4 linked regions of the Oryzias latipes genome follow. The protein of the gene in region 3 purifies or fractionates together with the protein of the main gene of each other region. This does not show direct contact. Links are inferred from orthologs where the notes say so. Each region holds a gene or a part of one and is shown on either strand. Other genes may lie near its edges.

Region 1 (3,567 bases), on a different chromosome or scaffold from region 3:
ATGGTGTTTTTAACATTTTCTTTTTGATGATAGAGGACATTTATATTTTTAAAAAATTGCATTTCTGAGTATTTCTTTATCCAAATCATTGTGAATCAGGATCAGACAAAAAAAATGCTGTTGGAAAAACATCATATTTGTGACGTAGAAAATACACTCCAACATTCCCGCCCACAGCTTAAGAGCAAACTACTGCCACCCTACAGAAACTATGTCATAAAGAAACGATGCAGGGTTATGATTTTGGCTATGAATGGCACATTCATAATTTAAAGACCACTGGGAACACTTGGATAGATCAAAGGATGATCATTGTGGGACCAAAACTTTGCTCCAGACCCGAGTTAAAACTGTCCACTGTATCAAACGCAGCAGTGTTTCTTTTACCTCAAATAACTCGTCGGCTTTGAGCTCCTTCCCGCTGAACACGATGCCGTGAGAGTACCCGCCCACTCTGACGGCCTGGCAGCCCTCGCCGAGCAGCACCACGTTTTTACCGTGTTTACTGTGCAGCCGATGGGCGACGCCTGCTACTGCCCACGCAGCAGAGACGCACACACACGGACACAACAGCACAGTCATTGGAAGGTCACTCGAAGCTTTCGGTCGTCATTTTGATGTTTGTACCTGGAGAGTGGATAGGGAAGCTCTTTTCTGTGATGTTGCTGGTACACAGGCTGTTGTCCAGCGGGCCGGAGGAGTTGGTGATGGCCACCTGAACACACTGACCGTATAGGTCGATCACGGCGTACACCTCTGAGACAGAAAGACACCCATCCGTGGTTCAGCCGGACCGCCTGAGGCTTGCAACGGATCAGGGAGTGCATGCAGTCCACCGGGGGACTTTACCTGGAGGTAGACCCGAGCAGGCGACTCCTTGATCCACGCCGTTTATGTAATAATGGAGGTTGCCACTGGACGAGCGCATCATGCCTATCCTAGAGCCCGTAGTTAGGGAGTCCAAATCACATCCATAGTTGTTGCGCATTGTGTTCCCATCCTGCATGATGGCTGTTCCACTGGGAGAAATAAAAGAAACAAAGAAGAACTACGTTAAAAAAAAAAAAAAGTCTCAAATGTTGCAGTATTTCTATCTCTGGTCCGTCTGTAGTTCTTTCTCTAGTTTTGTTTGTCTCTTTCCTGTCCTCTTAGAACGGGTCATAACAGACGGAACGTGGCTACAGAGTCTCTTTCTGATGGAGCTTTCTTCCACTTTGTCCTGAAGAGTAACTTTTCTTCCCAAATGATGACTTGTTCAGTCACTCAGCACCCTTAAATGTAATGGCACAGTCACTTATAAAGGTATCATTATATCAGAGTTAAAGACCTGCTCTGGTGAAAATGGTGTTTTTAACATGTTCATGTAGCGTTTTTCTGATGATGAAAGACAAATATAAAGAAAATTCAGCTTAAACTGCATTTCTGTATTGAAATCATTATGAATCAGAAGCAGACATAAAAACGTCTCAAAAGGAGCGCGTTTGTTACATAGAAAATACACTGGGCGGGCCAATAACTCTTAGTAACAGGGAGGGGAAGGGGGGCGGGGCTGCTCCCACAACTTAAAATTGAATTTCTGATGAACTGCTGCCGGTCTACAGAAACTATGTCCTGAAAACGACACAGGTTTTGTTGATTTTGGCTAAAACGGTATAATTATAATTAAAAAACCACTGGGAACGCTTTACAATAGACTTAAAGACAATCATCTAGTAGAAAAGAATGATAAATATATATATATTTTTTTTCTCGCTTGATTTAATGTATCTTGTTTTTTTTACAACTTTTAGTGTGAAATGTTTCATAAATAAATAAATTTCCAAAAAAGCTTTCAAATTCAAAGTTTTTTACTTTGGTTCTTAACCAAAAAACAAGGCATAATGGCTGACGATCATCATCAGACATTTCTCCTAATGCACATTTCGAAGGTCTTTAACCCGCTTATACCATGGTAAGTTACAAAAGAAATAAATATTCAACTAGTTTATAGTACTTTATTCTGGTTATTTGTTCGGTTTAGATCGCTCTTTTATTTTTTTTTACAAAAAGCGGACTATTTGTTATGTGGTGCGGCGCGTAACACGCTTAGCCAGCACTGAACTGGCAGGGGCAAAGGAAAGCGATATATATGCTGATGATCACGATGTGTTAAAATTAGCATCAGTTCAGAGAGAAAGTTCACCTCTTAATAATGAAGCAAAAGTTCGTTTTAAAGAATCCAACGCAGTGATATAAAACATTTAAGCTTCTTTTTATTACTTATTACTTTTTAATCCACACCCAGCAGCCAATCAGAATCGAGTATTCACCCGGACAATTCAATTGATTACCTCAACATCCAAGTATCGTAATCGATATCAGTCATAGTGTTTGGAAACTCCAGCTCCTCTGGCCTTATGGCCGTTACTCCTAAACGCACAGAAAATCCAGAGAGAGACGTAAGAAAGTTCATGTAAGTTTCAAATGTCGTGGATGTGAACTCAATGGATCGATTAGAGACGCCAACAAACCTGCTTCTATTGAACCTGACCAGCGGTCCACCATCTTCTGGATGACGATTTCAAACAGCTCTCCATCTCGAAGGCACCTGCAACGAGTAAAGTTCATGCCAGGTCAGATAAACGTGTGAGCATTTGAGTAAGTAATCAACTAAGAAACATAACCTTTTTTCAACCTGAATAAATTAACAGAACTTCCTGTTGTGTTCTATTTACCGGTGAGCTAAAGAGTGATGGTCTTTGTTTGATCTCCTCTTTAAAGGGTTTTCTCAAAGTCTCTCAAAGTGATTTTTATGTTATTTGTCTGACCTGTTGGAAATAACAATCGCGTCGTTGAACTCGCTGCGGCAGTTCTGACGCAGCGCGGTGCGCCCGCCGTTGGTGATGACGGCGTTGGTGCCGTGGAGGTGGTGGAAGCGCAGGTCGTTGGTTGCTGTGGCTCCAGCTACTGAGCAGGGACTGCCAGGGGACATGGCTGTGGGGCCCTCGGAGCTGTCCTCCGGCAGAGGGGGGAGGTCTGCCAACAGAGGCACAAACATGAACCACTGTGGAACCACCACCACCCCCCCCAAAAAGTCCTTTGACTCACCCATGTCGTCCATGATGGTGGCCTGCGCCGCCTGACCGTAGAGGTCAACCACAGCGTAGACGCTGGGTGGCACGTTCCAGGCAGCGGGGCCCTGCGCCACGCCATTCACGAAAAAATGGAGGCTGCCGTCTTCTTTCCGAACGACGCCGACTGTGTCGCCTGCCTGCACGGGCAAGAAAAATGTCAAAACAATAAATACCCCAAAGACCAACACTGATATCTACTAACACCTACTTTGAGTCGATCCAGGTTGTGCCCATATTCGTCTAAAATGGTCGTCCCGTTGTGCATCACGCCGTTCCCCGTCATCATCCACGTCCCTGAAAACATCAAAAGATTAGCCTCCGACTAGCCGAACCGACCTGCTTTAAAAAAAGGCACCGCGGTCGTTCACCTGAGCGTAGATTGGTCATGGTGGAGGGCAGTTGCAGGTAGGCGGGGTTGTGCGTTGTGACTCCAATTTCAATGGAGCCCGCCCAC
Region 2 (2,512 bases), on a different chromosome or scaffold from region 3:
TTGAGAGGCTGCTGATCAGTTAAAGAACAGAATGAAAATGTTTAGCTCCTGGATGTTGGCTTCAGCAGGAATGAAAAGCAAACAAGGGGCGTTAATATTTAACATGACAGGTGGTCACGTATCTGTGACCTCAATTGAGAGTGGAGTTGTGGTTTCAGACAGACTCAGTTTTAGGTTATTTCCTGCTGCTGCTTGTTCAACTGACAGAAACCCCCAAACGTGCTGAAGCCTGACAGGAACTCTGAGAGGAGCAGCTTCTACACAGAGCTTCATCCTCAAGACGAGGAACCGCCAGAACAACAAAACAAGACGTCGGCAGATTCTCTCTTTTCTCTGAGGTTACAGATGGTACTGCAAAGCCTGTACTAGGTTTGCCAGGCAAACGATCACAGACCAAGCAGAGAGGATTCTGTCAGTTTGGGATGTAATAACAGTCAGCAAACGAACCGAAGCGGAAGCACTGATATTAAAAACCCTGGTTCTGAGTTTTCCTCTCCACAGTGGTTAAAAGTCATCTCAGGTTAGGGATATCACCAACAATTGGTCAAAGATTTGGCCACAAATTAAGTTGAAACAGTTTTATTTAGCAAACATATCAGAGCAACAATGGCAGAGAAAAGAAGACAAACCCCCAAACTGAGCCATGAGGCACACCAAGTTAAAACCCATGATAAGCTGTGGTCCACACTAGCTGGACGAGAATGTTAAAGTCATCTCAAACACGTGTTGTGGATGGAGATGTTTTAAACCTGTTCTCCTTACAGATAAAACACCACGGTCTCCTTTCACAAGCAACCACACCCTGCAGCTCTGCCAGCAGCAGGTTTGATGCGTCTGTTGTCTTATTCTTTACATGAGGACATGTTTGTTTCAGGAGCCGAAGGCCAATTTGTCCAGTCAAAGCAGAAATATAACTCAGCCCTTCCTGCAAAAACTTTGTATTGATCCTTCACCCAATTTTACCATTATATTTAAATTTTTATGCATTAAGGGAAAATAACAACAGTCTCTCCTTAATTTAAGAACTGATCTAAATGAAGTTACAAGCTAAAAAATACATGAATTTAAAGACCCACTCTGAATAAGTGGGTCGTGGATTGTTCTGGCACTTTTTTATTCAGTAAAAGTGAAACATAGCACCTGGTAAACATTTTTTTTCTGTTATGACTCTCTGTACTTTAGTTCAATAATGTTATAAAATATAACTAGATGAGTTTTAGCAAATCCAGAAACTCTTAACAAACACCTAAAGGTTAAAATGTCCTTCTCAGTAAAAAGATGCTTATGGAACCTGCAGATGTTTTATTCCAGAAACTGCATTTAGAGATAAACCTCTGAATAGTACGGAGTTCACCTGAACGCCTCCTCTTCTTTTTAACATTCTCAGGAGGGATGAATCTACGATGAGGAGGGTTTCAGAAGTCCTTCTGTTTGTTAGCTGCTGTCGGTAACTTCTTGTGAAGACGAAGGAGCTGAAGCTTTAGTTCTGAGGTGGGGGGGGGGGGTCCATCAGAGCTTGGCCTTTGCCTGGAAGAAGCTCATGATGGCGTTGAAGCACTCATCTGACGTCCAGCGCTCCATGAGGCGCTCCACCTCTGCGTCATTGACGGCGTACAAGTGCTCCTTCTCTATGGAGCGGATCAGCTGCTTGGACAGAGCCAGAGACTGTGGAGGGAGGGGGACAAGGCCAGCAGCGTCAAAACTCCATAAACTGTTGGGCAGGAACCTAACATCATCTGCACTCACGCATGATTCTGCAGTGAGTGCACGGGTGAGTGTGCACGTGTGAGCCTTGATGTGCTTACTTTGCGAGGCAGCTGGGCGTAGGCCTTCAATCTGCTCCAGACCTCGGACTGGAAGCTGCTGTCGGGGAAAACCTCGGTGACGAGGCCGAGACTACAGGCCTGAGCTGCCGTCAGCTTCTTGTTGAACAGCAGCATCTCGGAGGCCTGCAGACACGTGACAACATTCATTCCCTCGTGCAGGTCAGGAGGTCGCTCTGCACTCAGGAGGAACCAGCAGCTGCAGTGGGCGCACCTTGGCATTGCCCATCATCTTGGGGAAGGTGTAGGAGGAGCATCCCTCAGCACTCTGGCCCAGCTGGCTGAAGGGGGTGTGGAAGGTAGCCTGAAACGGAGATGCTGGTTGAAGTCTGACGTTATGCTCAGAAACGTGAGTTCAAGCGGCCACTTTCAATGAAAAAGCTATGCAAACGCGGGTAAATGCGCAATTCGGGCTGCCCCGTTCAAAATCCTCCAGTTCACGTCGCTACGCAAGTTTTTAAGTCTTTTTTTTGGCTTCACGTACAAAACGCCGCATTGAAAGGTAAACCATTTCAACTTTGAGTCAGGGATTTGGATTTGGTAGTAGCGATGGTTGGCGTCCTTTTTTAATAACGGAAGTTCCAACTGTTTGAAAATTGACCATCAGGGAGAAACATCAGTTAGATAAATTAAAGGCTTATCGAGATCCTGGTTACGTTTAGGTCTAATTTGTGGCCACTACATGAATA
Region 3 (3,567 bases):
ACAGTCCTTTGTCTGGTTGTGTGTGTTGGGGGGTTGATGAGGACACATTTGAAGATCTTAACATATGTTCTTCAATTGATACTCCACGTTGAGAATGCGTTTTTTTGTCCATACGATTTCGGAGGGATTTTCTTTTTGGTAAAATTATAGGAGCAAATGTATGATCATTGGGAACATGTGTCTGCATGTGGCTCGGTGTAAAATGAAGTAATTTGAGATGCTGGCTTAGGCTCTCGGCTGTGTTCAAAGGAGAGTTCACAGAGGTCTTTTCTGCAACACGGTCTCCCTGCAGCTGCAAATCACAAGTGCAATGTCACTCTTACGCACACATTTGACCCAACCATTCATGCCAGCAACAGGCCCGTCTGGTATCGGGCTGCAGGGCTTATAAGAAGAATGCTTGGAAGGAAGTTTAAGGATCAGTGAGTTCGAGAGGTTTTGCTTGTTTTCCTAAATCCAAACAGATTTGACTTTGTTTCATCTACTAATAGTACTCCATTCGCAGACTGCAGTAAATGAAATCCTTGTGTGTTACAGAAACTCCCTAAATAATAAATGTTGTATTTAGTATGTAAAGCAGGTCCATAGTGAAATGTTGCCACCATGGTCGTTGACTCTCATTATCCCTAACAGAATCAATTAACCGTAAAAGACTGTTTTGAGTTTAACAGGATTTATGGTTGGTAAGTTTTCTTGGTTTCTCTTGTACGCAAAGGACAGTATGATCTTTTTGATTCTCTTCCGCTGTTTTTACCGACATCTAGTCTGACTTGCTTCAGGAAACGGAAAGTAATTTCATAGAAAACTTATGAGTCACTACATGATGGTGTGTTGTGATCTACACCAAGGGTTAAAGTTATTCCAAAAGTGTCGTCAGAGCTGTTGAAATGATGAATACATTATTGGATATGACTATGCATAGTATGGTTTCATAATAAGTGCCCTACGTTGAAGTTGGTAAAACTTTAAAGCTTTTTGCTAAAAATCCAACTTATTTTTTCTACAGCAGGTCTGTTTGGTCCAGACCAGAGTCCGTTTCCCACAGTTCACGCTGCTTCATGTGGTTTTACTGGTGCGGTTCAATACAGGGTGAAAGCAGATATACTCTCTGGAGGTCCATGAGGTAAAGGACCACAACGAGTCATAGGCAGCATATATTTTGAGCTGCAAAAATAAACAAATAAAACCAGACACCGTAATTAAAAAATGAGGAATAAAAGAGGTCTGGGCGTGTAACAGTATGACAGAGGGCTAGCTTGGCTTTATCTTAATCATGCTTGTTTCTTTGGTCAGTCCTAATTTTGAGCAGTATCACTGTCATCTGTGCAGCTGCTGTTGCTGCGTGACATTTCTCAGGTGGCCTGGGCTGATCTGTAGAGAGTAGCACGTCTGCAAATGGAAGTTTCTTGAATTTCTCAGCCATTCAATGGCTGTCATGGTCTGATCTTTTCCTGGTCCAACTCAGGTTATTGTTCTCTTAAAAAAAACTAGGTGAAGGTCATCTGATTTATGTTGTCCTTAGCTGAACTGATGGCACACATACCTACACATTACCACAGTCACAAAGTCGTCTGCACAATTGGCTTCTCTGGATGAGTATCGGTCCGCTCTGCCAGGTGTCAGATATTAGCTATGACTTGTGTGTAGTCTAATTCTGCCTGACCTCCTTCACAAGCTGTCCTCAGACTACAAGATTAGCTTGTTACCTGCAGGAAGAGGTCATGTCTTTGCATGTTGCACTGCAAACAAACTTTTAAAAGGAGTGATGCACCCCAGAATAGTGTGACCTCAAGTACCTGCAGCTAAATTAGGGCAGGAACAGGAGCCTTGCTCAATGGCAAGAATACCATTTTGGTCTCACCCCAAACAAGCAGTGCATGTGGGGGGAGACGGGAGCGAGAAGTGAGGGTGTTATTTTACCACTCCCCCTCCCCCCCAGTCGCTCCCACACAGGCCGCTTTCCTTTGTGTTCGGTCCTGTGGCGAGTCAGGCGCTGTTTGAGAGTAGAGAGGCTTTGTGCCAGCGGTGTGGCAGAGGTGGGGGAGATTACTCTCCTGTCCCAGACTGCTGACATGGTCTGCACGTGTCTGATCTCCCCCCTTTCAAGCCTTTTTCTTCCCTTTCTCGTTTTTTTTTTTCACCTACACAGCACGTGTGGTGTACGTGACCCACAGAGTGCAAGTCTGTGAAGGAGATGACACCCAAGTTTATCACATTTCAATGGGGTTATTGCATTTACAGCAACAGCCCAGAAAAAGACAAATGTTTAGATGTCAGCTAGATATGGATCAATTGTAGTTTGAAACAAAGAACTTAGCTATTGGAATAACTCTGTCTTGTAGTTTTGTTTTCTCTTTGAACATCTAACTTAAACTACCCTGGTCTCTGTTGATCACAGGGCCATCTCTCTGAAGGTCTTGTCACAAAGTGGTACAGATCTCCTCGCCTGCTGCTCTCTCCTAACAACTACACCAAAGCCATCGACATGTGGGCTGCTGGCTGCATGTTTGCAGAGATGCTCACAGGGAGAACCCTGTTTGCAGGTAAATGTGGGTCACAGCAGGGATTTCATTTCAATCGTTCTTGAAATGGAGCTGATTTTTAGAGCAAAATGTTTGACTTTGTCAAATGCGCTGACAGGTGTAACTATTCTGGATAATAAACCAATGTTTATCTGCCTGTCTTTCTACTCTTGTAGTTTAGACAATTTTTACAGACATTTTTTGTCATAAAGGTCTTTTTTTTTTGGCAAAACAAAATTGACTTTGGATGAGCAGTGTTCATTTTTCCTTTTTAAAAATGTTTACTTAAAGGTTTTTTTTATATTCCTGTCTCTTTAAAACTGACCTAGATACTTGTTATTCTTGTTTTCAGCTATGTGTGTCATGTACAACTAAGATTTTCTTTCTTTTCCAGGAGCTCATGAGCTGGAGCAGATGCAGTTGATCCTGGAGTCCATCCCTGTCCTGCGAGAGGAAGACCGACAAGAGCTTCACAGTGTCATCCCGGTCTTCATCCGCAGCGACATGTCAAAACCTCACACGCCGCTGGCCAAGCTGCTGCCTGACGTCAGTCCACAGGGTGAGCGTCTCATGAGAATTCAGTGAAATCAAGGATCCAACAGAAAAGCAGTCACATGTCACATGCATCATGTCAATTCCTGACTTGATCTTATCATCCTTTTTCTCTCTGCAGCCCTGGATTTTTTGGAAAAGATCCTGACCTTTAACCCAATGGATCGCCTGACTGCAGAGGAAGCCCTGGCCCACCCCTATATGGCCGACTACTCTTTCCCCCTGGATGAGCCCATCTCTCTGCATCCTTTCCACATTGAAGATGAAGTGGATGATATTCTGCTCATGGACCAGAGCCACAGCCATACTTGGGACAGGTGTGTTTTCTCTCCTTTTTTAATGAGATGCAGTATTCCCTTTTTATTTTAGGATACAGGGCTCCAGACCGCGACCATTTGGTCGCATTTTGCAACCAAAATTTGAGTGTGCGACTGAATTTTACATCCAGTCGCACATGTGCTACCAGTAAATTTGCCTCCCCCACCCTCCGTAT
Region 4 (3,567 bases), on a different chromosome or scaffold from region 3:
GCTTTGTGCCGGGTACACACAGCACCAAAGAGCTGTCCTTCTCTTCCTGCTGATCTGTCAGTCCCCTTCATCTGCTGGCTAAAACTTTATTTGGTCTTTTCTTTATGCTTTTTTCTTTTTTTTTTTTACAATCCGCATATAGAAAAACCTATGCTTCATTGGGCACCAGTTAAAGTAAGTTCTGTTTTGGATTGTTTCACAAATGTTCTAGTCAATTATTAAAGATCTGGCTACACTTCCTTGCAGGTTACTTAATGATTATAGTAAATGGTTTAATATGAGAGAAGGTGTAATTGAATGAAAACTAAACTGTAAGTTTGTGTTTTCTTTAAAAATGTGTAATTTATCTACAAATATGCAGATGTTATGAATAAGGTTAACTGCACTTTTTTCCATAAAGGAAAAAGAAGCTGCTCCTGCGTTTACCTTGTCATGTTGAAGAACTTTCATGCAAAGCATGTTAGTGTGTATCTGTTCCTGTCTATATGCACATGGAAGGAACTACTCAGCGATTCTTATTTGTAAAAAGATTCAGAATCTGGCCTTTTCTGAAGCCAGAAATAAGAGATGCAAGTGTACGTGAAGACTGTGCATCAGAGGCTTATGTCTGGAAATAAGAGTGAAATCATTTGAAAAAGGCACATTTGTAATGCAAACAATTTTTCTCAAATTACCAGAAGACCATAATTTGCCCTTTTTTTGTTGTTTTATTTATGTTTTGACTTGATTGTTTTACATCCACCTTCATCCTCACATCCCCCATCCTCCTTCCTAGCTCAGCTTCCCCCTTTTCCCCTTTCGCCTCCCCTCTTTTAACACCTCCTCTTGTCACTCTCGCACTTGCTTCCCTCATCTCTGACCCCTCCCTTCTTGCCTTCCTGCTCCCTCCCCCTCCGCCAGCCTGCTGGCAGTGAAGTGGGCAGGGCCAGTGGTTGTGTGGGTGGGTTGTCTGCATTGGTGTGGCACACTGTCTCCAGCCTGGTTGCTGATTCAGCCCAGACACTTGTGAATGTAAGGCGACTGTAATGTGTTGTGGAGATCACATGATGATTTATCTGATGGTTTATAGGTTAGAATCCGGCCACAGCTGCAGACTCTTATGGTTTGAAAAAAATTCAGTTGTTTAACGACCGGTATGGTGGATTTTTAGGGGATGTGCAGTCAGGTGTGTATATTTTTTTTATAAAATGTTGCAAATAACTCAGATGCAGATCACTGCTCATGTTACTGCATTCTAATACTTAACACATTTTTTGTTTGTAAAGATTACACTAAATGTGATTTAGATTTGAAGGAAGTATGGTTTTTCACAGTGCTAAAACCAGATCTTTGTTATCAAAAATTGCAAAATATAATGTTGGACATTTTTATAGAAAACAAAGCTCTTTTCCACTTGATTCTTGGTAAAAAAAATATTAACTCTAATCATTTATCTGGTTTCTGTTTGTTTCTCAGTAGGAAGCAAACATGAGGATGGCACCCAGAGCGACTCGGAGAACGGACTGGGCCTTCGTTTCTCCAGTCGACGTCATGCCCTCGAGGAACGCCTGAAGGCGGCGCACGGCCACGCTCCAGGAACAACAGGAACAGTGGTGGGGAACACAACTGTGGGCGGGGCCAGAACAACTGGAACTCGCACAGCTTTCATGATCGAACTTTACGACGAGGAAAACCCACGCAAGCGGCGGTCATATTCATTTTCCCAGACTGCACCGCTGCTTCCGGGAGGCACGGGAGGCGAGGGCCTGTGTCCTCAGCCTCCCTCTCACCCAAAGGTGTTCAGCATTTCCACGTCTGCCACTACAGCCTCAGACTCAGGTAATTGTGAATGAATGCTTTCACACACAAAAGACCTAAAAACGACTGTTTGTAAAATAAGATTAACATTTTTTGGAAAAACACTTTTCAGTGGTTGTGTATTTGCCTGCATGTGCATCTGTCAGGTAAAGTCCCAGCTCCAATACCAGCAACAGTGACTGTAGGTGCCCCAACAGCTGCCCGTGTGCTCCTCAAGCAGAGGTCAGAGGATCATAGCATAGGTCGTAGCTCAGCCAGCACCGGACTGGCAACCGGCAGCCCCACCACCCCCAGTGAGGACGCCTCACTGGTTGGCAGAGAAGCTCGGCCTGCTGGTGGAGAAGCAGAGGATGATCACAGCGATAAGGGGACCTACACTATCGAACTGGAGAACAGCAATCCAGAGGAAGAGGAGGCCAGACGCATGATAGACAAGGTAGCAATGCTTTGAGATGTTAGTCTGTTTTCAGGGTTTTTCACCTTTTTTCGTAGAGCATCATAAAAACGTTTAGAGGTATGAACACACCGGACATGTGTTCAAGAACATGAAAGTGGGTTTTTAAACGCACTTTTAGCATATGGTGTTCCCACAGGTCTGTTGCCACCCGATACTAGTGCAAGGATTCACAGTTGGAAGAGCCTTGGTGCAAAATGTCGAAGCGGTGCAAATCTCACAAATTTTACTCCAGGCATTGTCTTTCACAGCTCTATTCCAATTTATGACAGACTTGCTGTCATATAAATCCAGACGGGCACAAATTGATATTGTTCATTTTCTCCTTCACAATGGATTTTTAAATGGTTGGCAGTTCCGTGTTTTGAAAAGAACGCTAGTCATACATCACTACCAAATCCCTGAGTGGTCAAAGTTCAAGTGGTTAAACCTTCAGCATGCGTTCAGTTGCCGCGCATTGTGAACGTTGAACCTGGTAATGGGTCTAAAAACTTGCTTAGCGACAGATGAATGCCAGAGTTTTTAACCCAAAACAAAAGAACACAAAGAGGCAGGTTTTCATTGGAAGCGGACGTTTGGACGCACTTTTCCGAGCCCAGTGTGAACGTAGCATTACACACAGACATACGTAGTTACCCTAATGCATTAGAAGAGGACACCTAATTAGAAATAGATTTCACAGACATCAGCAGAAGTTTGACTTACAAACACTTTTTCATGACGAAGCGTTATGATCAAACTGATAAGTAAAAAAAATGCAAAAGTACGCAGTTTTCCACGACCTTGATTTCAACCATTTCAGCATTTATACGACCTCTCTGCCTGACTTACACTAATAAGCAGAAAGTTGTCTATTTACCAAGACTATATAAAAGTATGTATCTTTGTTTGCATTTGGTAATTCTCTAAAGCACCAACAGGGTCTTTAAGATTTTGTTTTTCATCATAATAGCAAGTAAAACAACAAAAAAATCTTCGTTAAAGTCAAGCTGATGTAGTTTAATTGAAGACCTGAAAGAAGCAAACTACAGCAACTATTAATTCACTCTTTATTACCTGCCTCGTCTGCACTTTTTACAGTTAGGAAGTCATTAGATGTTCTTAAAGCAAAGGTATCATCTCTCTATGGCTTTACTTGACCACAGCCCCTCTACTCTATCCCGCTGAATGTATTGCCTCTGCTCTGTAATGTATTGCCTGCAGTGAACTGCTGCATCCAGCGCTGTTCTTGCTTATTAAAATAACACCCTAGGGGGGCTAAAAAAAACCTGCAGCCTCACCTCTTGGTGCAGAGCTCTTTAGTGGTCAAAGAAAGC

What was found. The genes of interacting proteins can lie anywhere in the genome.
Region 1: the proteins of mapk6 (region 3) and neurl4 purify together in Homo sapiens (affinity purification with mass spectrometry; 6 studies listed by BioGRID and IntAct, counting the BioPlex papers as one, with this or other methods). This does not show direct contact. The link is inferred for Oryzias latipes from reciprocal best matches to the Homo sapiens genes MAPK6 and NEURL4.
Region 2: the proteins of mapk6 (region 3) and eci2 purify together in Homo sapiens (affinity purification with mass spectrometry; 3 studies listed by BioGRID and IntAct, with this or other methods). This does not show direct contact. The link is inferred for Oryzias latipes from reciprocal best matches to the Homo sapiens genes MAPK6 and ECI2.
Region 4: the proteins of mapk6 (region 3) and cep170 purify together in Homo sapiens (affinity purification with mass spectrometry; 3 studies listed by BioGRID and IntAct, with this or other methods). This does not show direct contact. The link is inferred for Oryzias latipes from reciprocal best matches to the Homo sapiens genes MAPK6 and CEP170.

Annotation. Positions count from the first base shown.
Region 1 is NC_019876.2:14,658,477-14,662,043, reverse strand, and holds part of neurl4 (neuralized-like protein 4), read right to left. Parts: coding exon 3,482-3,567; intron 3,408-3,481; coding exon 3,322-3,407; intron 3,251-3,321; coding exon 3,088-3,250; intron 3,016-3,087; coding exon 2,808-3,015; intron 2,588-2,807; coding exon 2,511-2,587; intron 2,410-2,510; coding exon 2,331-2,409; intron 1,020-2,330; coding exon 850-1,019; intron 757-849; coding exon 628-756; intron 534-627; coding exon 388-533; intron 1-387. UniProt on the Homo sapiens protein: Promotes CCP110 ubiquitination and proteasome-dependent degradation. By counteracting accumulation of CP110, maintains normal centriolar homeostasis and preventing formation of ectopic microtubular organizing centers.
Region 2 is NC_019878.2:4,767,892-4,770,403, forward strand, and holds the end of eci2 (enoyl-CoA delta isomerase 2, mitochondrial), read right to left. Parts: intron 2,128-2,512; coding exon 2,038-2,127; intron 1,950-2,037; coding exon 1,806-1,949; intron 1,666-1,805; coding exon 1,510-1,665; 3' UTR 564-1,509; downstream 1-563. UniProt on the Homo sapiens protein: Able to isomerize both 3-cis and 3-trans double bonds into the 2-trans form in a range of enoyl-CoA species. Has a preference for 3-trans substrates.
Region 3 is NC_019861.2:13,638,104-13,641,670, forward strand, and holds part of mapk6 (mitogen-activated protein kinase 6), read left to right. Parts: intron 1-2,398; coding exon 2,399-2,543; intron 2,544-2,916; coding exon 2,917-3,081; intron 3,082-3,195; coding exon 3,196-3,391; intron 3,392-3,567. UniProt on the Homo sapiens protein: Atypical MAPK protein. Phosphorylates microtubule-associated protein 2 (MAP2) and MAPKAPK5.
Region 4 is NC_019873.2:16,500,138-16,503,704, reverse strand, and holds part of cep170 (centrosomal protein of 170 kDa), read left to right. Parts: intron 1-1,455; coding exon 1,456-1,818; intron 1,819-1,943; coding exon 1,944-2,233; intron 2,234-3,567.